2 linked regions of the Notamacropus eugenii genome follow. The protein of the gene in region 1 interacts with the protein of each later gene in a pairwise test. Links are inferred from orthologs where the notes say so. Each region holds a gene or a part of one and is shown on either strand. Other genes may lie near its edges.

Region 1 (8,238 bases):
AAGCGATATGTGTGTGTGTGTGTGTGTGTGTGTGTGTATGTGTGTGTGTAATATCTACCATGAAAAACAAAATAAATGTGAATAGAAATAAAATTTGCTTCAATAAAACCTTGGGAGAAAAGTCTCCTCTTTTTTTGCACATCAGAAAAAAGGATAATTTTTAGGCTTTAAACCAAGATGTAATAGGGAACTCATTACCTCATGAAGCTGCTCCTTCCATTGTTGCACAGCAATGTGTTGGAGAGTTTTTTATATGGAGTCAAAATCTGCTACCCTAGAGATGATAACATATTTTTCTCTCTTCTCCAAAGAGAAGTGAAGGACTACAGGTACAGAATGTTGTATTCAATGTGAGATATGACCTCCCCACCCCCCAACAGGTTTTCTTGGCCACAAGGAGGAAAAGGAATGGAAACATATCAAGTTTTTAATGTAATATAAAAACAGGCATCAATAAAACCTTTTTTTTTTTTTAATGTCTTTTTATAGCTTCTAGCTACTGGTTCTAGTTCTGATCCCTCTTCCACATGAAAGACTTTGATTATAACAGTGTGCTCAAATCTGGGTTAAGGCAGAGAAAATGGGTCTCAGGTTCTTTGCTTCTTTGTCCTGTACCACAGCATTTTTAATTATTTCATTGCCATCTGGCAACCACCAGCTGCTGCCTCTGTTCTCAGCCTAGTGGGCTTTGAGCACTTTCCCCTTATCCTCCTGTGCTTTATTGATGACAACAAAAAGACAGTTCAGAATGGGAGTAGCCAGGGAGAAGTAGAGTTGCTGAGATCCTATCCTGCAACTTCATTGGTAAAGTCATGGCCCAGAATTGCAGAAATTATCTGGCCCAGCACAACCTAGTTGGCAGCTGCTAGCTTCCCTAGAGAATGTAGCCAATGTCTGAGATAATTCCCATTCATTTTGTGTATGTAAAAGGAGGTTTATTATAAACCACTAAACTTCCCAGATTTACTATATTATTTATTTTCCTTTTTTTATTACTGTCAGGGTGAGGCTGACTGATTTATTCAAGTCATGCTACCCCTCTTAAAGTGAAAAAAAAAAGAAACAACCAATCACTCTCAATTGTAGGCTTTAGACCTATTGGTCCATGGCTAGATTTCAGTTAAGTTTGTGAAACTGAATGGGAAGAAAAGTTGCACCACTAACTTCTAAATGAAATTTCTTTATTTTAAAACATTATGTTAAGGAGTCCATAGGTTCTGTCAGACTTCGAAAGGAGTCTATAACACACACATACACACACACACACACACACACACACACACACACAAGTTAATAATCCCAGCTTTACAATAAATGAAAAAATTCCTTTGAATTAGAGTGACATTGCACAGAAACTTTTGATCACATTCCAGGAATCATCTATAAATTATCAAGCTTGCTTAAAACTAGAGGAATTTGAGGGGTTACAACATTTAAAAAAAAAACAAAACCCTTTTAGGAAGAACCATGGGCACTGGAAGTAGAAACCTGAAGTTAAACCTTGGTCAGAGGAGGACCTTATGGATTTTGAAGGGTCCGGAGAATGTTGGACTTCTCATCTTCCTATTGGTGTTCTGGTGGTATCCCCAGATCAGCTGATGGCAGGGTCTGCATTGGGAGCCAAAGACAAATTGAGCATAGACTTATAGAACCACAAATAGCTTAGAAATCAAACCCAGAGCTCTGATCTACCCCTTTGCAACATTTGTTCCCTAAACTTGAGTTGACTTTTCCCTGGTCTCTATATACTTGTGTCCACAGACTTTTATGGAGATGTTTTCTACAAACTTTGCTAATTATGCCAATTTAGTAAATATGTAAAAGTTACGTAAGGCTGGTTGACTAAAATGATTCTCAACTGATAACCTCAGGGGTGAAAGAAGCATGCTGGTGGGGGTTTGAGCTGATGTCATTAGAGAATTACCTCCTGGATTTTCCTCAAACTCTGAGGTGGGGGGTGGGGTGGATATGTAATGTTTTTACAAGACCTGAGGTCCATCTGTAAAAATGGGAGTTGGATCAAGGATCCCCAGAGTTTCTATGGGCTACATTATGAACTTACTAAACACAAACACTTCAACATGCAAAGAAGAAAAGAGGATTGCATAAAATTGAACGTGTTACATACAATTTTTTAAAAATATGTTAAATTTAACATGGTAGTAACAAAAATGCCCTATTTGTCAGTGTCCCCTTCTGAACTTCCTTTTGTTCTGTGTATTATAATATCTCATTAAAACTCTCTTTAATCCTTCAGGTTTATTTTCCCATAGGTCACGAGCAGTCATCGAGAAAAAAGATTAAATCTTGCCTTGGGGATTATTAGTTATGGTTACTGTAAAAATGTTGACTGAGAGAGTTTACATTAACTTTTGAAATGTTTCATAATATGTTCCACTCGTCAAACTACTTTGCTAGACTATGATCAGAGAGGGCTGAGAAAATTGTAACAGCTGGATCCAAGCAGAAAACATTTTCAGTGGATAGGGTCAGAACCATGAGTCATATGCACAGAAATAACCAAAAGGAGGCATTGCTGAAGAGGCTAGTTTGTACTGATTGTGATGTAGATAGGAGCTTCTCACTTTGAGCTCAGCAAAGACTGTAGTATTTAATAGCCTATTGTGTATAGAAAATCATGCTAAGTGCCACAAGAGAGGCAAAGTTTGGATAAGACAATCATGGGTTTTAGGGGAAAAAAAAACTTACATTTGTGTAGTACCTCAAGTTTTACAAAACACTTACCTCACAACCATTCTATGGGGAAGGCAGAGTGTGTGAGCCTTATTATCTCTATTTTGAATATAAGGAAACTGAGGCTCAGCAACTTAGGCCAGTCAAAAATAGGATTCACATCTAGACCCTTTTATTCTAAATTCAAAGTTCTTTTCACTACACAATGTTGTCTTTCTAAAATTCAGACTAATTATGTAATTAATTACATTGTCAGTTTATTTTCCTTTATTTTATTCTATTTGTTGCTCAAGTGGTATCTAAGAAAAAACTGTCAAGTCACTGCCCATGGAGAGTATTGTTTTACAATGAAAGAGTAGCCTAAGATGCTATTTACAAAAATGGGACGTATCATTGTATCATTTTCTTTGTACTTCCTTTGGGAAAAGTTCTAGCTTGATGATAAACAATGCTAATACTGATGCAGAGTGAGTTGAGATGAACCAAGAAAATAATTGATTCAGTGAAATAAGAAAAGCCTACTCTAATCAATTTAAGGACCAAGCACAATTCCAGAAGACCAATGGGAGAAATGATGGTCAATGTAGGAATTTGTTTTGGTTGATTATGCATATTTTATTTGACTATGAATATTTGTTATGAGGATTTTGTTTTTCTTGTTTCAGTGAGGTAGGGTGAGAAGAAGTGGGTGATAGGGATAGAGTTCCCTCCCCACCAAAAAAAATGAAAGAAAAAGAACAGTATTGAAGCATTAAAAAAAAAAATTAACAGAACTGAAGGAAGTCGAGAAGGAATACCAGAGAAGCAGGATAGCCTTGAAAGTTATGTTGAATTAATTATATACTTAAAAAAAGCAAACTGTACATAATAGAGATGTACACTTTCATGTAAAATCTTTTTTTCTCTTCTACTATGTACATGGAAATGCTCATTTTATTTGGTGTCTAAAGTTAAAGAAATAAAATTTTGTTGTTTTTTAGTTGTGTCTGACTCTTGATGACCCTGTTTAGGCTTTTCTTGACAAAGATAGTGGAGTAGTTTGCCACTTCCTTCTCTAGCTCTTTTTACACATGAGGAAACTGAGGGAAACAGGTTTAAGTGACTTATCCAGTGCCACACAAGTAGAAAGTGTCTAAGGTAGGATTTGAACTCATGAAGATGAGTCTTGCTGACTCCAGGGCCAGCACTATATCTACTGTCTCACTTACCTGCCCCAAAGAAATAAAATAGAAACAAAAATAAAGTGTTGCTGTCAATTACTTTCAAGGCCAGTGGAATACAGGTGGAAACTATCTCCACCTTCTTACCCTGACAGGCCAAATTCCGAGCAGGGATAAATGTACATATTCTGTATTTACCTGTCAGTTTATTGTATCCATCTAGTAGACTGTAAGGTCTCTGAGGACAAGGACAATTCTTAGCACATAGGAGACACTTAGTAAGCGCTTGTTCACTGATTGATACTTTAAAGCTGTCAGTGGCTCACAAAGGTACCATATGGATTTCTTACTGACCTTACACAATTGTGATACTCAAATGAGATGATGTATTTGAAAGTATTTTGTAAACTACAAAGTACTAGAGAAGTGTGAATTGTTGTTTATTTAGTCCTGAATTAGTTGTCCACTATGTGTTTAGTCATGTGACTAGAATCAGATTTTTTTTATCTTTAAACTTTTGAGAAGTAGTAGGCACAGAGATGGTATTTTGGTTCAAGTTTTGCAGTCCAGCAGAATGTGTCACAATGCCATAAGAGCAAACTGCTCACTAAGGTTTATTCTGATGTCTGCCTTCTCTTAGTGGTAGAAATAACCTAGGATTCTCAAAGGCTAAGTGGGACTTCCAAGGGAAAATAATCTTGTTTCCTGCTTTCAGTTTGTAAGCACTGCAGTATCACCTAGCTCTTCACAGCTATGTAGATTCTTTTAACTTTCTTAAGTTTCTTTTGTGGAATCATTTCCATTTCCAAGACTGTTCAACTCTAGATTTCTCAAAAGGAATGCTTAGAGGTCATCAATTCTTCTAAAAGTTCTATTTCCTCCATGTTTGGATTATTCTCAACTTTGTAGGATATTGTCCTTGGATACAAGGATATCCTTGCTTTGCTTTTTGATAAATTGCATTCCAGTTTTTCCCCCTTTCTTCTTTGTTGAGGAAAAGTATTCCTGCATGATTCTACATGACATTCCTTGGTATGTGATCTACCTATTTTTGTCCACTTGTAATATTTCCTTTTTGATCTGTAATCTCTGAAGCTTGGCAATCACATTTTTGTGTGACTTAAACCTGGGGTGGTTCTTTATTGGTGGCTCTCCAGTCTCATCATTTCCTGTCACTCAGATGCTTTCTGTCACTATCTTTTCCTTCAACCCTATTTCACATTACGAAGTTACCTTACTATTTACTAAAGCTAACCCCAGAACTTGTTCAAGCAATCCCATTCCATCTCATCTTATCCAACAGATTGCCCCATCTATCATCCCTACTTTCACTTATTTTCAACCTCTCCCTGTCTACTGACTACTATTCCCTCCCTACTGCCTACAAAAATGCCCATGTCTCCCTCATCCTAAAAAAAAAAAACTTCAAATGATCCTTCTGTTTCCACTCATTCTATATCTTTTTTGCCCTTTGTAGCTAAACTCCCTGAAAAGGGCCATCTGATGCGGCCTCCATTTACTCTCCTCTCACTCTTTTCTTAACCCCTTATAGTTGGGCTTCCAAACATCATTCCACCAAAACTGCTCTCTCCAAAGTTACTAATGATCTATCAGCTGCCAAATCCAAATGGTCTTTTCTTAATCCTCATTCTCCTTGACCTCTCTGCAGCCACTGACACTGTTTATCACTCTCTTCTACCTGATTTTCTCTCCTCTCTAAGTTTGTAGGACACCGATATTTCCTGGTTCTCATCTTACCTATCTGACTGCTCCTTATCTGTCTCCTTTGTTAGATTCTCTTCTAAATCATGCCTTCTAACTATAGGTGTCTTCTAGGCTTCTTTCTTGGGCCTTCTTTTCTTCTCCCTCTATGCTACAGTTATCCCTTCTACATCATGGGTGCTAGGGGCATGGCACCTCTACAATCTGGAAAATCTGTGTAATTTTTTTTGCCCTCTCTTCATACCAGAGAAGTCTGATTTTTTTCTATTATGGGGTATTTACAGTACCTTATTGTAAAGTTTGGTTAAGTCTTTGGTCATAGACTATATTTTATGCATTTCTGAGTTTCTAAACTTTTTCTGAGTTTCTGATTTTTTTCTGTGTCATCTGCTGGCCTCCATGTGTCATCTTCAGCTTCTGTAAAATTCTCCCAAAATTCCCATTTAATTTCTTATGCTGATTCATGATATATCAAAACCTCAGTGGGGAAAATTGTGATGTGGAAGGGATACCTGTACTTTACTTTGTGATCTCAGTAGCTTTCATGGATTTAATTACCAACTCTATCCTGATAATTCTCAAATCTATCTATCTTACATCAAACTCTGTGCTGACTTCTAGAATCTCACATCTCCAACTGCCTTTCAGACATCTTAAACTGGATGTTTAATAAATACCTTATGTCCACTAAATGTCCAATAAATACACTATATCCAAAACAGAACTCATTATCTCTTCCCCAAATTCTCTCCCTCCCACCTTCCCTATTACTATAGAGGGCAATGCCATCCTCCCAGTCTCTGAGTCTCACAACCTATGACTCATCCTGGATTCTTCATTATCTCTTACTCCCCCCTCCCTACCCTACATTCCATCTGTTTAAAAGGATGTCAATTTCACCTTTGAACCATCTCTTAAATATATTTTCTTTTCTCTTATGATGTTGTCACCACTCCAGTGTAGGCATGAATCACCTCAGCATCTGGATTACTGTAAAAGCGTACTGGGGGGGGGGGGGGGGTCTACTTGTCTAGACTCTTGCCTTACTTTAATCCTTTTTCTACTCAGCCACCAAACTCTTCTTGATAAACACCAGTTGCTACCTATTGCCTCTAGGATCAAATACAAAGTGTTCTGTTTAGCATTCAAAGCCCTTCATAACCAACCCCTCTCCTACCTTTCCAGTATTATACATTACTCCCTGATATGTACTCTTCAATCCAGTGACAATAGCCTCTTGGCTGTCTAACAAACAAGGCACTCCATCTCTTGGCTCTGGACATTTTTCTCTGGGTGTCCCCTACGCTTGGAATATTTACATTCCAACTACTGACCTCCCTAGGTTTCAAGTCCCAACTAAAATCCTATTTTTTTTTTTTTACTGGAACCCTTCCCCAACCCCTCTTCATTCATGTGCCTTCTCTCTTTTATTTTCTATTTATCCTGCATATAACTTGCTTTATCTATCTATCCATCTATCCATCTATCTATCTATCTATCTATCTATCTATCTATCTATCTATCTATCTATCTGTAAAATTTGTATCTTGTCTCCCCATTTGTAAGCTTCTTCTGAGGGCAGAGACTGTCTTTTGTTTCATTTTGTATCCCTAGCACTTAGCACAGTGCTAAGTTCATAGTAGGTGCCTAGTAAATGTTTATTGATTGATTATGCATACTATTGATTACTTTACCCTCTAATTCTTATATTTCTAGGCAATTTTTCTGATTTCCTGAAGTAAGCATGATCCTCATACTTTTTGTTCAATAATGTTTTTCTGGAAGTTCAGTAATTCTTAGGTGGACTCTCCAAGCCCTGTATTTCAGGCAAATTATATTTTGTTACAAAGACCTCCCAAGTTTGCTGTCTTTTGGCTCTGCAGTAATATCACTGAACTTTTTTCTTTCTTCCATTCTTTTTTTACCAAGTACCCATTGCCTTGCTTATGTTTTATAACTTCTCTTCAAAGTCATCAATTCTTCCTTGGAGATTTTCATCATAGGACATATTCTCTTCTTCTGGATAGTTCTTACTGTTCTCTTACTATTTCAGGGGACTTTTATTTGCTTGCTCATTTTTAAGTCTTTTTGCTGTTGTTATTATAAGAAATTCCTTACTTTCTCTTATATTCTATTGTTCCTTCAATTTATCTGTCAAATGTCTGTTTTGAGCTAATGAGGCTAACTGAAAACCTCTGATGCAGCCATATGGATGGAAGCCCCCCTCAGCAGGTATTTGATACCTCTTTCTGGAATGAATGCATGAGAATAGTTAGAGATGATGCTTGAAAGGAATGTTAAAACTTGAAATAAAAGACCTATATTAATCCTTGGATGTCAAAATGAGGTTAAACTTTATCTTTTAGGCAATGAGAAGTTATTGTGCGCTGCTGAGGCAGTATTGGGGAGTCACGTAAGATAAATTATAATTAGGAAGCTTAATCTAGACAGCAGAAAACAGGGAGGATTGTAGAGTGAAACCAGTTAAAAGACTACTGCATAAGCCCAGGTCACAAGGGCCCAAACAAGGGATATTTGAAAACAATGAACCAATGGGAGAGTGATTGTAAAGGAGACAGCAACCACCTGGTTATATCAGGCCAGAGGGAGGAGGTGAGAAGGAAAGAGAATCGCTGTAAATAGAGAAGGACAAGTAAAATAT
Region 2 (8,156 bases), on another chromosome or scaffold:
CCATTCTAATTTTTAAAGAACTATTTTCTTCAGTGAGCTTTTGAATCTTCTTTTCCAGTTTGCTAATTCTTCTTTTTAAAGGATTCTTCTCCTCATTGGCTTTTTTGACCTCTTTTGCCATTTGGGTTAGTCTAATTTTAAAGGTGTTATTTTTTTCAGCATTTTTTTGGGTCTCCTTTAGCAAGCTGTTGACTTCTTTTTCATGATTTTCTTGCATCATTATCGTTTCTTTTCCCAATTTTTCCTCCACCTCTTTTACTTGATTTTCAAAATCCTTTTTGAGCTTTTCCATGGCCTGAGACCATTGCATATTTTTTTTGGAGGCTTTGGATGTAGAAGCTTTGCCTTTGATGTCCTCCTCTGATGGTAATCATTGTTCTTCCTTATCTGAAAGGATGGAAGAAAATACCTTTTCATCAAGAAAGTAACCTTTTGTAGTCTTATTTTTTTCCCCTTTTTTGGACATTTCCCCAGCCAGTTACTTGACTTTTGAGTCCTTTGTCAAGTGGAGGGTATACTCCAGGGACCTGTAAGTTCTCAGTTCCTCTAAGGTGGCACAATTAAGGGCACAATCTCCTGGCCTGTACTCTGATCTGTGAGCAACCACAATCACTCATTTCTGTCCTGAAATTATGAATAGGGTTCCCTCTCCACAGTCACCACCTGCTCCACCACTCCAGCACCAGTGCTCCTTCTCACCCCATGACTGCTACTCTGGACTGGGACGAAGATCAGCTCTTTGATTCCCCCAGGGTCTTTAGGCCAAGGGCTCTAAAAGTGGACGCTGCTGCTGCAGTGGCTGCTGCTGCCCTGGGGCCAGGGCTGGGGCCAGATCATGCTCCCCTCCCATCCAGGTGAAAGAGCTTTCTTACTGACCTTTGAAACTATCTTTGGTGTTGTGGGTTGAGAAATTTGGGAGACTCAGCTGCTACCCATGCTTCCGCACCCTGAGACATGCTCCAGTCCTGTCCTTGCTGCATGCCAAGACCAGGCTGTGCTCTGTGCTGAACCTGGTGCAGTAGGCCCTTCCTGTTGGCCTTCCAGGCTGTCTTGGGCTGGAAATCTGTTTCATTCTGTCATTTTTTGGCTTCTGCTGCTTTAGAATTTGTTTAGTCATTTTTACAGGTATTTATGGGCAATGGGGGGAGACATAGAGCAGGTTTGTCCTTCTACTCCACCATCTTGGCTCTGCCTCCCCATTTTTTCAAAAAATATGTTTCTTGTAAGAATCAGACTGTGGAGTTTTGTTTTATTATTCAATCTGTCACTTTCTTTCATTTTATGGATTGTTTAACCCAATCACGTTTAAAGCTACAAATTGGGTTTATGTTTTCCTCCAGTTTTTCCTAATGCTGTTTTTCTACAAATTACGGGTTTTTTTCCCATTCTAAACACAGTATAATGTCTCTTCAGTTATTTTACCTTAATCTTTTTTTTAAGGTGGCCCTATTCCCACTGGCTTTTCCCCCTTCATCCACAAGTCCCATTTTCTATTTTTTGCTCCTTTTCCTGATTTTTGGAGTTTTGCTTATTAGTTTCTTATTTTTTAAAATTTATTTATTTAATTCTTCCCTTCTTTTCCCCCTCTTGGTTAAGTAATCAAGTAGAATTCTCTTTTTTCTCCTCCTGATCAGTGCTTTGTTAGTTTTTAAAATTTTTATTTCCTGTATCTTTTTTCTAAAAAGAAGTTCTTTCTTTCATTCTCTTCATCACTTATCTTCCCTTTCTGCCTAGTTTAGACCTTTATTCTTTGATTCATGGCCCACAAATTTATTTAGTCATTCTCTTTTCTCTGTGTATCTTGTGGAATTAAGCCTTTTGAGGTTCCTATTTTGGGTTCTTTCTTTTAAACACTGATTTTACTTGGGATCTTACTACTACTTTGGGATCCTACTACCTCTCTGACATCTCCTTGTCTATCTCTTTTGCTGGATCCTAATCCAAATCACACCCTCCACTGGAGGGACACTTAAAATCCCTCAGGGTTCTGTCCTGGCTCTCTTCTCTCCTCCTTCTACACTATTTCACTTGCTGATCTCATCAGATCCCATGAGTTTAATTACCATCTCTATGCTGACCATTTTCACATCTTCCTTTCCTGGCCCAATCTCTCTGTTGGTCTCCACTCTCTAATCTCCAACTGCCTTTCAGACATCTTGAACTAGATTTTCAGTAGACATCTTAAACTCAATATATCCAAAATAGAACTCATTTTCTGTCCCCCTAAACCCTCTCTCTTCTCTCCCATCTTTCCTTTTTACTGTAGAGTTCATCACCACCCTCCTAGCACCTTAGTCTCTCAGTCCAGGAGTCATCCTGGATTCCTCACTATCTTTCACCCCCCCCCCCCATATCCAAGTTGTTATCAAGATCTGTCCATCTCATCTCTGCAATATTTCTCTAATATTTCATCTTTTCTTCTCTGATACTGCCATCCCCCTTGTGCAAGTCCTCATCTCCGTGCTTCTAGACTACTTCAATAGTTTGCTGGTGGGTCTGCCTGCTTCATCTCTCTCCTTTCTAGTCCACCTTCCATTTAGCTACTAAATGATTTTCCTAAAGTGCAGGTAAGATTATGTTGTCACCCTCTACCTCCTCCCCCAGTGTACTCAGTAAACTCCAGTTGCTCCCTTTTGCCTCCAAGATCAAATACAAAATGTTCTGTTTGACTTTCAAAGCTCTTCATGACCAATTTATCTGCTTCTTCCTCTGGTACTTTTAATCTTTTTAAAAAATAGCTTCCTTCCTCTATTGCTTACTTTCTCACTCCCTCCCCTTTGATGGTTTTCATAGGGGCTGGATGTTAAGTGTCTCAGCCTCCTTTGCTGGTTAATTCCTGGTTTACTAGCCTTTACTAGGTCTCTGCTCCAAATGACTTTTAGTGGGTAGAACTGGCCACACCTGCATGCTGGGCTCTTTTTCTCAGGCTCAATGAAGTGCCATACATTTCTTACTTCCTCTTCCCCCTTTTGCCCATTCTCTCTGTCCCTCAGTTCTCTGGTCCGATGGCACAGAATGCTGCCATGCTGCTATGACAGCCTGAGTGAACTTCTGCTATTTGGAGTTTGGATCTCTACTGCACTGTGGGTAGGGATGGGGGTTGGGGGTGGGTATGGAATTGAGGTCTGTTGCCAATGAATGGAGCTTAGTGAATGGCAGAGGAGGGGATGTTGGGTGAGGGCTCATTAGAGGGTAGGGAATGTTGGCTTTTTCTGTTGTTGGTTAATTTAGTTTTTACCTTGTTTGGATATTTGATGTCTTATACCCTGTAGAGAGCTGAAATTGCTTTAGCTCCCACTCATAATTCCCATTTTGGAGAGGTCTGAGAGTTCCTGAGGATCTGTGAAAATATCTAGGCTGCCATCTTGTTGGTCATGCATCCCAAACTCTTAAGAAATAGTCAGTAAAGATATATTAAGTACCTCCTATGTCCCAGATACTGTGCTAAGCGCTGAGGATACAGATAAGAAAAAGAAAGAGGGCCTCTGCTCTCAAGGAGTTCACAATCTAATGGGGCAAGCACAATACACAAAAGAAAGCTGAAAAGGGGGTCAGGAGCCACCAAGAGTATCTTGTAGGGACATGAATTTTGTGAAATGGAAACTAAGGAAAGCTGCTGGTGGAAAATAAATTCTTGTTGAGTGTAATTGCAGCAGCAGAAGCCAAAATAGTTCAGCAGGCTGGAGAGGGGGAGGGGGTTATGGTATTTTACTGTTTCATGAGCTGCTCTGGGTGGAGGATAAGAAAAAACACTGCAAAATCTAGTCTTGGGCTGTTGTGCTTTTGGCAAGTGAATTTTTTCTTTTACTGGCCAGAAGCTTTATGTAGAAATGGCAGGGGGTTCTTGGGATTCAGGGCCATTTTGTATGTTCTAGCTACTGTGCGCCCTTCACTGGCCTTGTTTGTATAGAAATGGGAGGGAGTTTCAAGGAGCTGGGGCTGTTTAGTGCATTTGATGGTCAGTCAAATCCAATTCCATGCAAGTCATATCATCATCTCCCAGATGTCCTGGTCCTTTTTGAGTAAGGACAAACCACAACACAACAACTTTGATGGCTGCCCTACCAGATTTCTGCCCAGAGCCTCTGTTGTTATGTAGCTACAGAACAGGCAAGTTCTCCAATTACAGGGGCTGAAGATGAGTCAGCAACGAGAGAAGAATGACCTAAACGACCCCAGACTCCAAAGCCCCTCCTGCTTCTTCCCATACAAGGCCAGAAGTGGGGGCACAGGGCTCTGCCTCACAAGGGCATGTGGTCAAGCATGATCAATGGGGTAGGGACTGTGTGGCTGCCCCTTCCACAGACCCAGACAATGGGAGGTCCCAGGGGCCCCTGAAGAATGTGCTAGAGAGCCCTGATTTTTTCCGCATTATTTATTTTGCTATGTGTTTGGGTGAGGTTCATCCTTTTTAGGGATGCTTCTTAAGTTCTGGGGGGAAAATACGTAACAATGTTTCATGGTTAGGCTTTGTTGCCCTGTCTGAGGAGCCAAATCCACGGGGTCCACACCAAAGGGCCTCCAAAACAGCACTGGGCAGTGCCTCGCAAAATGAATAAAAAGACGAGAAAATACGAGCCATGCAAACAGGCACTAGGCTACCACTGAGATCCTTATGGACACTTAGCGCCCTTGGCTCTGCAGTTGGAGCCTTGGGCCCCGCCCCCTTGGCCTCCCCTGTCGGCCAGCTCAGCCTCGCCCCCGCAGTCCCTGCTCAGCCCCGCCTCGCCCCTTTGCTCGCCAAGCCCCGCCCCCCGCCGCCCCTGGGCTCGGGCCTTGGCGCCCCCGGCCGGACAGGCCCCGCCCCTCGGCTCTGGCCACGCCCAGACCACGCCCCGGCGCTCACTTCCCGTCGCGCCTGTCGTCGCCCGCCCGCCCGCCGTCGCCGTCGCGTCCCTCGCTCGCTCGCTCGCTTGCTGAGGAGATCAGCCATCTCTGCCCTGTCTGGTAAGCACTCCCGCCCCTGGCTTCTCTCCTCAGGGCGGGCCGGGCGGCCGAGGAACGTCGAAGCTTCTCGAATCGCTGCGGCTCACCCGCGCCCGCCCCGTCGGGCTTCCCCCTAGGTGTCCGCCATGGAGGACTACCGCGGCCTCTCGGACCAGGAGCTCGCTCGCCTGCTGAAGCTCTACAACATCCCCCACGGGCCCGTCGTGGGTGAGTGTGGACGAGGAGGGAGGGGCAGAGAGAGGAGGGAGCCGGGAGAGGGGAGAGGGAAGGGGCGACATCTCCGCCATCCCTCCTGGAGCCTAGGGGGTGTGGTAGGGCACCGAGTAGGTGAGGCCGCCTGCCCCGCCCCCAATCCCATATGTAAACTGAGGGCACCTAGGCCCTTTCTGGCGGGTCCCATGCCCAAGAAGCCACCTCCCGATCCTCAGCGCTTGAAACCGAATGTGATCGGGCATATTGTTGATTGACACCTGCACGGTAAGAGCGTGAGATCTCCTGGTGGATTGGTGGGAGTTCTGTGATTTCTCCCGTCATGGGTGCACCTTCCCACCCCATCACCACTCAGGCCCCCCTGAGTTCCAAAGGCCCTCCAAACTTGGGGGATGCTCTCTGGGACCTCTGGGAACACTCACCTGTCCGTCCGTGAATCTAGGTTCAACCCGAAAACTGTATGAAAAGAAAATCTATGAATATGAAAGTCAGAGAACCAAGCTTTCCCCTGTGACTGCCAGCTCTTCTTACCAATATGCAGGTGAGGAGGAAGGGTGGGACTCATTGAGCAGAAATGAAATGCTTCTCCAGTTGTGGGATGACTTGGGGAGTGTGACTAAGGAAGGCAACTTTTCTCACAGTGTATCTTTCTGTTGTGCCACAGAGGATTTTGAGGGTGAAGCTTATGGTTCCAGACAGGGACAGGATGAAGATGAGGACATGGATGAAGGTGATGAAGGTGAGTGTGGTTCCTGTATCCTAGAAGGCTTCAGGTTCACCCTAAGGAGTGGTAGGGCCTGGCCTGGTTTGGCATTGCCTTTCCCTAGCTGCCTGCAGTGCCATGGGGCTGTTTGGAGGCAAAGTGCATGGTTGGTTGTTCTGTGACCCCTTGTCCCTCTCTGCAGCTAGAAGCCAGTACTTTTGGGCTAGACAAATATGAGCTGCTCCCAAGCGAGGCTCCAAGGGCTCTCACTGATAAAGGTGAGGGAGGAGACCTATGATTCTGGCTGAGCCTGGCATTAGTGTGCCAGGGCCCAACTGGGCTGGGCTGGCTTCTGTTATCCTTATTGTTTGCATGGACATCTTTTCCTCCCAGTCACATTGCCTGCCCATTCATTCATTCATGATCTCATTTCATGGATTAGCCACAGCAGGTAGTTTGGGAAGCAAGGATGACTGTAATTATTTCATAGTTGGAGGCAACTCACTTGGGGCCTGACCTTGGCAGCCTGCAAGTCTGTTCTTTTTTTTTTTGTTAAATTATTTTATTTTCAGTTTTCTGCAATCACTTCCATATATCTTTCCCCTCCTTCCCCACTCCCTCCCTGAGACGGCGTGCAATCTTATATAGGTTCTACACATACATTCTTATTAAGTACATTTTTACCTTAGTCACATTGCATAGAAGAATTAAAATGAATGGGAGAAACCATAAAACAAAACATAACACAAGAGAAAATGGTCTGCTTCATTCTGCAATCCAATTCCTTAGTTCTTTCTCTTGATGTGGAAGGCGTTTTGCCTTGAGTCCATTGGGAATTTTTTTAGGTCCTTGCATTGCTGTGGGTTAAGTCCACCAGAAAAATTCATCACACACTGTGGTTGTGGCTGTGTGGTTCTGCTCCTTTCACTCAACATCAGTTTATATAAATCTTTCCAGGTCTCTCTAAAGTCTTTCTGTTCATCATTTCTTATAGCACAATAGTATTCCATTACATTCATATGCTACAACTTGTTTAGCCATTCCCCAGTTGATGGGCATCCCCTTGATTTCCAGTTTTTGGCCACCACAAAGAGAGCTGCTATAAATATATTAAATTTAATAAGTTCTAATAATTTAATAATTATATTAATTGAATAATTATATTATTTTAATAATCAACAATAAATTTAACAAATATTTATCAAATAATAAATTTAATAAATTCTAACAATTTAATAATTGTATTATTTTAATAATTATAATAACTTAATAAATTTAATAGATATTAAATAAAATATATAAATATAAATAAATGTGGGACTCTTTCCCATTTTTATGATCTCTTTGGGATACAGTCCTAGAAGTGATATTGCTGGGTCAAAGGGTATACGCATTTTTGTAGACCTTTGGGCATAGTTCCAAATGTACAAGGCTGTTCTAAGCCCAAGTCTGGAGTCCTTGGCCTCCAACATTTATATAGTGCTTACTATGTGCTGGGCACTGTGCTTAGCACTTTACAAATATTATCCTTTGGGCCTCACAGCAACCCTGGGAGTATAGATGTTCTTATTCTCCCCACTTTACAGGATGGAAACTAAGGCAGACAGCAGTGAAAGGTCACAGCTAGTGAGTGTTTGAGGCCAGATTTGATCTCAGGTCTTCGTGCCTCCAGTGCCCAGGTGGTATTGCCCCACTTAGCTGCTTCTACCAAAGCCTTGGTCTCTGGCACTCTACCCTTTTCTTCCTCTGACTCTTCTAGTTGACTATGACAATTACTATGAAGAGAGTTACTCAACTACCAAGACTTATGGGGAGACTGATATTGGAGCCATCCCAGCAGCCAAGACCAGGACCAGCTTCCAGGAACCCCTGCCTTCCACAAGCTACAGCAGTGGCAGTTCCAAGCCACCTACTTTTCACCTGCGCCAGCGGGTAAGTGAAAGTTCCTGCCCCACTCCCCACCATCTAGGTGCCAAAGTCAGCTAACCTTTCAGTCTTCCATATCAACTATTAAATGATGAAGGGTTAGACTGTGATGCCATTGATATTGGAGCAAATTCCTCAATGAGGAAGTCCCCTGTGCCACAACATACTGGTACCATAACTTTAGCAAGTTTCCCAGAGCACCTAGGGCCCCCCAGACCCCATGTGTCAGAGAATAGTAAGACTTGGAGCCAGCTTTTCCTGTTCTGAGGCTGGCTTGCAGTCTCTGACACCAGAGGTATCTAGCTCAGGCCTGTGGGCAACCAGCAAAACTCCTAAGTGACCTCTGAACTCCATGAAAATGTCACTAGGA

What was found. The genes of interacting proteins can lie anywhere in the genome.
Region 2: the proteins of CEP70 (region 1) and EMD interact in binary tests that used the Homo sapiens proteins (3 or more experiments, as listed by UniProt). The two-hybrid records come from large-scale screens. The link is inferred for Notamacropus eugenii from reciprocal best matches to the Homo sapiens genes CEP70 and EMD.

What each region holds. Positions count from the first base shown.
Region 1 is NC_092876.1:328,657,270-328,665,507, forward strand, and holds the start of CEP70 (centrosomal protein of 70 kDa), read left to right. Parts: upstream 1-4,868; 5' UTR 4,869-4,886; intron 4,887-8,238.
Region 2 is NC_092879.1:9,699,845-9,708,000, reverse strand, and holds the start of EMD (emerin), read left to right. Parts: upstream 1-4,765; 5' UTR 4,766-4,947; intron 4,948-5,063; 5' UTR 5,064-5,072; coding exon 5,073-5,154; intron 5,155-5,599; coding exon 5,600-5,698; intron 5,699-5,821; coding exon 5,822-5,896; intron 5,897-7,619; coding exon 7,620-7,792; intron 7,793-8,156. UniProt on the Homo sapiens protein: Stabilizes and promotes the formation of a nuclear actin cortical network. Stimulates actin polymerization in vitro by binding and stabilizing the pointed end of growing filaments. Inhibits beta-catenin activity by preventing its accumulation in the nucleus.